Linked DNA regions of Coturnix japonica. The protein of the gene in region 1 binds, or shares a complex with, the protein of each later gene. Links are inferred from orthologs where the notes say so. Each region holds a gene or a part of one and is shown on either strand. Other genes may lie near its edges.

What was found. Proteins that work in one complex are often made in the same cells at the same time.
Region 2: the proteins of ARHGEF7 (region 1) and ITCH are in contact, whole or in part, in a crystal structure (PDB 5SXP), measured with the Homo sapiens proteins. The link is inferred for Coturnix japonica from reciprocal best matches to the Homo sapiens genes ARHGEF7 and ITCH. Residues at the interface, in NP_001106983.1 of Homo sapiens: Phe193, Phe195, Thr198, Asp201, Glu202, Arg215, Glu217, Glu218, Gly219, Gly220, Trp221, Glu223, Thr230, Trp232, Pro234, Asn236, Tyr237; in NP_001244066.1 of Homo sapiens: Arg252, Pro253, Pro254, Arg255, Pro256, Arg258, Pro259, Pro260, Pro261, Pro262, Thr263, Pro264, Arg266.

What each region holds. Positions count from the first base shown.
Region 1 is NC_029516.1:125,581,198-125,584,852, forward strand, and holds part of ARHGEF7 (rho guanine nucleotide exchange factor 7), read left to right. Parts: intron 1-1,226; coding exon 1,227-1,365; intron 1,366-2,265; coding exon 2,266-2,325; intron 2,326-3,470; coding exon 3,471-3,617; intron 3,618-3,655. UniProt on the Homo sapiens protein: Acts as a RAC1 guanine nucleotide exchange factor (GEF) and can induce membrane ruffling. Functions in cell migration, attachment and cell spreading. Promotes targeting of RAC1 to focal adhesions. May function as a positive regulator of apoptosis.
Region 2 is NC_029535.1:1,347,739-1,351,393, forward strand, and holds part of ITCH (E3 ubiquitin-protein ligase Itchy homolog), read right to left. Parts: intron 2,360-3,655; coding exon 2,190-2,359; intron 1,047-2,189; coding exon 812-1,046; intron 1-811. UniProt on the Homo sapiens protein: Acts as an Acts as an E3 ubiquitin-protein ligase which accepts ubiquitin from an E2 ubiquitin-conjugating enzyme in the form of a thioester and then directly transfers the ubiquitin to targeted substrates.

The DNA.
Region 1 (3,655 bases):
AGAACTAGTTAATTTACAGTAACAACTGCTCAAAACGCTCACAGCTCCATCTGCAGATGAGTAGAATGGCTTAGCTTGAATGCAAAAAGGATTTCCTTTTTCATGAGTAGCTTTCTGGATTTTCTTAACTAGATCTTGTATTCAGACGTTTGTGTACTTCTGCAATGTGTGTTTTCTCAAGCCTGGGGATAAGCTCAGGTGCTGCTGTACCTTCCTTTCTGAAGGAGAAGGCTGATTTATTTTTTTACTTCTTTTTTTTTGTGTTTGGATGACCAGTAGCAACTTGTCCTCTACCTTATTTCTCTGAAATCTCTGCTGTATAAGGAAGCAGAGAACGTAGATAACGTAAGCTTCACTGATAGCAGAGTGAACTTTAATTCCATTAAAAGGTAGCAAAGCAACATGAGAATTTGTGTAACAACTGGAAGGGATGTGCTGCAAGTCAGTTGATCCAAATATGAAAAGCTATGGGTAGAGGAAATATCAATTCATGATGTTTGGAGAGTGTTGGTTTCTTGAACTAATGCTGATGTCAAGAAGTGTTATGTAATTATACCTACCTTGAAACTGTAGCTCATGAGGATAGACTGCATGCCAGTACCTGATATCATCTACCATTTGTGTGGCTGCTGATTAATTAATCAAATGACCAAAATTGCACTAGAACCTTGGATGTGTGATAGGTCATGAAACACTGAAATGTGTTAGGAAGAAGGTTCTTACTCTCTGCTTTCACATTAGTGTTTGCTGCATTAAAAACAGCAGTGTTTGATTCAGCACTTGATTCAGTATAGAGCCATTTACTAGCTTATGCCTGGCCATTATGTACATAAACCACTTCTAAGTTCAGATGTCGTTTTCTTAGAATAAAGAGGTAAGTAATGAAATACTGTGCAAATGGCTTTATTCTTCAACTTTTCCTTGAGTGTAGTGACGTTTAAGAGCTATCTCTGAGCATCAGTCCCCTAGAATGGTGAGTGAAATCCTATCTCTGCCTCCTGAATGTATGGTGGAACCCAGATTGATAGATGTCTCTGCGTTAAGCAAGAACAAAATGATGACATCTCTTAAGTTGTACTTAAATTCTTGAATTATTCTTTTTTAATTAATTGGAATTAACCTTTTATTGGCAGAATTCATGGCGTGTGAATGACTGAAGAATCTAATTTAACTTTAATATTCTTAGTAACTTGATCTTACTTTGCTTAAATATCTTGTGTGTGCAGTGAGGAGCTAGGAGAATTCATGGAGGTGAAAGGTGCCAACAGCCCTGGGATCCTTGTCCTGACCACAGGCCTCAGCAAACCTTTTATGCGTCTGGATAAATACCCCACGTTACTCAAAGAGCTTGAAAGGCACATGGAGGTATATCTTATCAGCATTTATGTTCCAGCTTAATGATGATTTGACATCAGTTATTTTAAAGGTACATGTCAAACATGATGGGACCCCAAATTACCTTTGTTTCCTTTTTCTTCAGCCTTCCAAGATATGGGCTGCAATATTTCAGAAGGTGGTGCAATAAGACTTCCTGAGAAAGCTAAATGTTTACAGTAGAGCTAGACAGAGAAGCCAACCTTCACCCCTAGAAGAGTCTTGCAGACTTGATGTTTGTGTTTTGTTTTTGGGTTTTTTTGGTCTACTGTACACACAACTTGAGGCAACTTTATCTTGTAGGAGTTTTGCTTTTCATGTTAGGATTTCAACCTGTTGGATGCATCATCTTGACTTCTACTGAACACTGTCCAGAAATGATCTTTCCACCGTGGGAAGATGTTTGAAGATCAACTGTCTCTGCATTTTCATCTTATAGGCTAGATTTCTTAGCTGTGAAGGAGAAAGAGAACTAGAAACTGTACTCTGAGTCACATGGTTTGTCAGTCAATGACAGCCTGACATTTTGTATCTAGGGAGTGTGATGTATTTACAATGAAAGACAACAAGCCAAATAAAACCCTTAAAAATATGCACTTTGTATTAGGAGTTCAAGTTGGTAAGCAATTTTATGTGTCCAGAAGGACATGTAAAATTTCCTTGACACTTTTTTAAGCAAAAGAGTCAACTACAACATTCCTATTTCACTTTTACCAAGAGGAAGACCACCAGTATGTTGAATTGGAAGGTTATGGAAAGAGAACAGATAGGTCTAACAGCTTTTATTTTATTGGATTGTTGATTTGCTTTTAGTTAAGCCTCTAAGCATTTTTATTATTATTTTTACTAAAACTGATTTTTTTTACTATGTTTTTTTTCCCTTGCTTTTAGGATTACCATCCAGATCGTCCAGATATTCAAAAATCCATGACAGCCTTCAAAAACCTTTCTGTAAGAGGAATGAAAAATAGATCATGTATATTTTCAGCATCATGTTTTCTGGTTTAATCCCTGTTGGTTTTAAAATGTGAAACTTTTTTGTACACACCTGTATAAGAAAATTTGCTGAAAGTTCTGGGACTCTGGAGATTAATGTAGTTTGTGGGCAGGGCTAAGAACTGCACCTTGTTGGGGAGTTACAGCAAATAGGCTCTTATTTGTGCTTCATTTTCCTTTCTGTTTGCACTTGTGACCTAAAGAAGGGCCACAACATTTGAGTGTATTTCTGAGATTGTACAAAGGTGCATTCATTCTAGGGGAATTGTGCTGGAGCTGGGGGAGAAGTGATAGTGCAGATAGTGCAAATGAGGATGGGAATATGGGATCTTTAAATAATCAAGATAATAAGCCTGTTTTGGACAGATGAGTTGATATTGCTGTTTAAAGGACAATAGATCTTAATTCTGAAGAATACAACTATTAAATTTAAGAAGTACAACTGCAACAGATGTATTTCTTGCATTCTCAATTACAGTAAACTTTTGTGTTTCCTGTTAGCAATGGAGGCACTTCCCGTTTTTTACATTTTAAAGCAGAAATTTTACTGTGGTCTGTGTTCAGAAAAGGCTGGAGGATCTGTGAGTCTGAGCACTTCACAAATGAAAGGAAACACTTCTTGAGGGAAAAGCAAGTGGGATAAGTTGGGAGTACAGTTAGTGAAATAGATTGGCAGGAAGTGTAACAGAAATAGGAGCAGAAGGTTGTGTGTACTCTGTTTGCACAATTGACGAGTCTCTTGTAATTCAAGTATATTTTGCGTGTAGCTATATGTATTCAAGACAGCTGCATTACTTCTTCCTGCTTGGCCTAGATGTTTTTTGTCACAAGTATAAAAATGGAAAGGGTAATTTAAAAAACAAGGATGTGACTACCAATTTCTAATTGAAGTTAGTCTATTAAAGAAAGAAATACTATTAAGTTAGACTAGTTTTATGGGAAATACTGGTAGTAGCAATATATGAAAATGCTGCAAATGTAGGTACTGTCTTCTGTGTACTACAATGACAATGGTAAATATATAGTGGTATTTCTACCCTCAACCTGTTCTGTGTTGGTAGAGTTGATACAAAAGAATATTTTTGCCTCTTATTTGTTAGGCACAATGTCAAGAAGTACGAAAACGGAAAGAACTTGAACTACAAATACTAACAGAAGCAATTCGCTGTTGGGAGGGAGAAGATATTAAAACACTTGGCAATGTGATTTACATGTCCCAGGTCATGATTCAGTGCGCTGGAAGTGAGGTAATGTACTTCTCATCTTTACTGTCAGTCTTCCTTTC
Region 2 (3,655 bases), on another chromosome or scaffold:
CATGGAGGAAAATGCACAGTAATTTGCCATCTCTAATGAAATAAAAATGGTAAAGCAACAACCGACATCTTCAAAATTGCTTTCACAGTTATCCTGTAAGTGTGGTAATCCAAGCTATCTATTGCTTTAACTGCAGGCAAATTAAAGCAGGTAATACTTCACCTACTATACCACTCACATTAGGAAGCTTTTGCTTTCGCTCACTCAGAGTACGGAAACATTTCTATCTTTTAAAGAAAAAGTTAAGAACCTAAATCATGTCTTCGAAGCAAGAGACCAATCATGTAACAAATTCCACATGGGTATGAGATGGTGCCCACAATGCTCTCAGGAGACGCAATGTATGAATTCCAAAACGTAGAGACATATAGCAGATTACGTCCCGCAACAATAACTTTCCTTCTACTTACTTAAACCAGTTTCTTACTGCTTGACTTCACTCTAATTTGAAGACAGCAGGTTGTCTCACTATTTAAAACCTCCGTTTCACTGACTTAGCAGCTTACAAAGAGCATCTAAACTACTCAAACTGAATTCCTTTCTTGACTAAACTATACATATATGTGTGTATGTGTGTGTATATATGTGCGTATATATATGTTTATATATATACACATATGTATATACACACACAGACACACACACACATATACACCCACTTGAAGGTCCACTAGGTCAAACAGTTTAGAAAACCTTTATTTTAAAAGCTTTTGGGAATTTTTGTTATGCAGGAAAAGACAGATGTTATTTGTATTTTTGTATGCTTAAAATTAGAAAACAGAAAAAGCAGAAAAATGCATTAAACTCATACCCAGGTGGAAGAGGACCTTGGCTGACTGTGGTTAGTGCCTGAGTTGGAGGATTTACTGGCTGGACTTGTCTTGACACTGGAGGTGTGGTGAGTGCAGCAGTTGCAGGAGCTGTTGTTGCTGCTGTTGCCCCCTCAGGGCTCGGTTCTGAAGACGTATTTGCAGTTGCACCTGCCAGTGAACCTGCACTGGCCCCATCATTCTCTGTGGACGTGGATGGAGAACCATTTACACTTCCTATGGCAGATTAGAAAAAAACCAAATTTTTAACTGGTATTTCTCTCGTTATTGGTAACCTATTGCAGAATTTGTAAGTCCACAAGTAAGCATGCAAAAGGTGGTAGTTGGAAGTGCACACACAGCTACATTTTCTACTTCACACAAAAACTAAGGAAAAAAAAAGGCAATTTAGTTGCACTCTTAAAACTGCTTTAATCCAAGAACTGCAATCAGCTGCACAGCTTTGATATTACAAATTATGTTATTTAGCAAAGCAACTTGTCTGCACTCTGTAAACACCAGATGACTATAAAGAAAAAGCCATTTGTTTGCATTTACGGACTTCCCATTATTGCAATAATTTTTGAGATATCATGCATAACATTTTGAAGAAGAGATTTGACACGATGTGGGAAAATGAAGGGTGTGAAAGGGAGAATACATATACTCTTTAAGTGCTTTCAGATTTCTTCCCCCATGCAGGCCATTTGGTAGGCAGTATTAAGAACTATACACCAGTCTTATTACTAAACTACACTGCCTTTACCTTTTAAAACAATTACTGCAGCCAAGTTTTCCATCCAGCCTCAGTATTTATCAACTGTCACAATGAGACCGCCAAAACAGATGGCAGAGTGTGCATGTGGAGGAGTTAACCTGAAAACACCTACCACTGTCTTAAAGTTTTGTAGTTTTGAAATTATAAGATAGACAAAAAAACCTATTTGTTTTCGTGCAATCAATGTTTGAGGTGCTGCTGTTTCAAAGAATTTAACCAGAACAGTAGAAAGAAATTAGCAGTCTTTCAAACCCCACTATTATCTACTTGAGACAGTTCTGTAAGTCCTTCAGCAAATATGTTCATAGGTCTCATTAAAATTAACTGAATGCAACAGTAGCACTCACTCATGTTCTTTTGGCACCGGCTCCAATATATTTAGCAGTATCACTACAATCATCACTTCTCAGTCGTGGAAACAAGAAATTACTCATAAGAGAATCAATGATATTGAATGCAAACTGTTAAAATAGGAATTATCCAAGAATTTACCATGAAAAAAATTGTAGTTATAAACACTCATTGGAAATCTTTGTGTTCATTTTAAGACTGTGCAGCTCATCAATAGCTTTGAAATGGATGTCTGGCCCTAGAATACGCACCAGCTACAGATGCGGGTCTGCGGGGTGTGGGTGGAGGCGGTCTAGCAGGCCTTGGAGGTCGAGAAGGTTTGCAGCTTCCATTTGTGAGCAGTGGAGAATCACTGCCATTAACAGTTTTGTTTTCATTTGGAGCAGCATCTTCAGAGCTTTCAAGGCCATTTGAGTTAGTCCTTTGTAGGAGGAGACAAAAAGGAGAACTATAATAAGAGTGTATGGATGACAAGTTTTAAAACAGAAATGAGAATGTAATAACTATGGCCAGATAAGATTTTTACATTCATGTTAATTATAAAAAACATGTTTGTACAAACACTGAGAATTTACCCCCTGAGGTGTTCAAGACCTCAGTTGATGTAAAGGTGGTGAAACAGATGTACACACATCCACTGCTGAAATCTCCTTTTCATTCCCCAACTCAATATACCTGCCTTCAGGCCCTCTGCATTTTGTTGCTCAGCTATTTCCTCCCATGAATGCCACTATTCTCTAATGAGATAGGAAGCTGATTAAGACTGGAGAACAGCCTGTATGCATTGGCTCCACACAGTAAGCATATGTTCAGAACAAACAGAATGTTTGAAAATTGTAGACAAATTAACTACACACACAGATTTTCCCCCTAAGCTCAGTCCTGAATACTGATAGAGAATTTAGGCCTAAGCATTAACATTTTGACGAGGAGCTACGAATTCATAAATGACATCTCAACTTTTCAAGCACTTCACTTGAAATAGCTGTCTTCATTCATTCTGTATTGCTCAGTTACACCTAGCAATGTATTAATCTGGTACATTCATACTCCACTGAGCAAAGTTAAATGCATCTACATCTTTATGTCTAAAGCATTTTGTTAATCTAGTGGATTGGCAGGTCAAATACAGAGGCCATAAGTAACAAATACACAGGTTTAATTTCAGACCAATGCCTTTAAAATTACCTCTTATAAATGCACAATAGATAGTAGGTAAAACCAGTTAAACCACAAGGCATAAGGGATCAAGTAGAATCACGTATGTCTGACCTCAATATCAATGTCAAATGCACCTTTGTTCTATACTAGGTGTGGTACACATAGAATCACAGAATCACTCAGGTTGGAAAAGACCTTAAAGACCATCAAGTCCAACCGCAGTCTAACCATAGTACCCTAACTCTAACAACCCTCCGCTAAATCATATTTCTGAGCACCACATCCAAACAACCCTTAAACACATCCAGGGACAGTGACTCAACCACCTCCCTGGAGAGCCTATTCCAGTGTTTAACTACCCTTTCTGTTAAGAAGTGTTTCCAAGACAATTCATACCATGCTACAACCACCCTAAAATAAATGACTACGACATAATGTACAAATCATTAGGGATGTGAAGTTTGCAAGAATTATAGCCTAGCTTTCCCCTGGTCCCAGGAAGCACACTGCTTCTGTCAGAACTTTACAGTCAAAAGTATAACCTTTTATCTTTTGT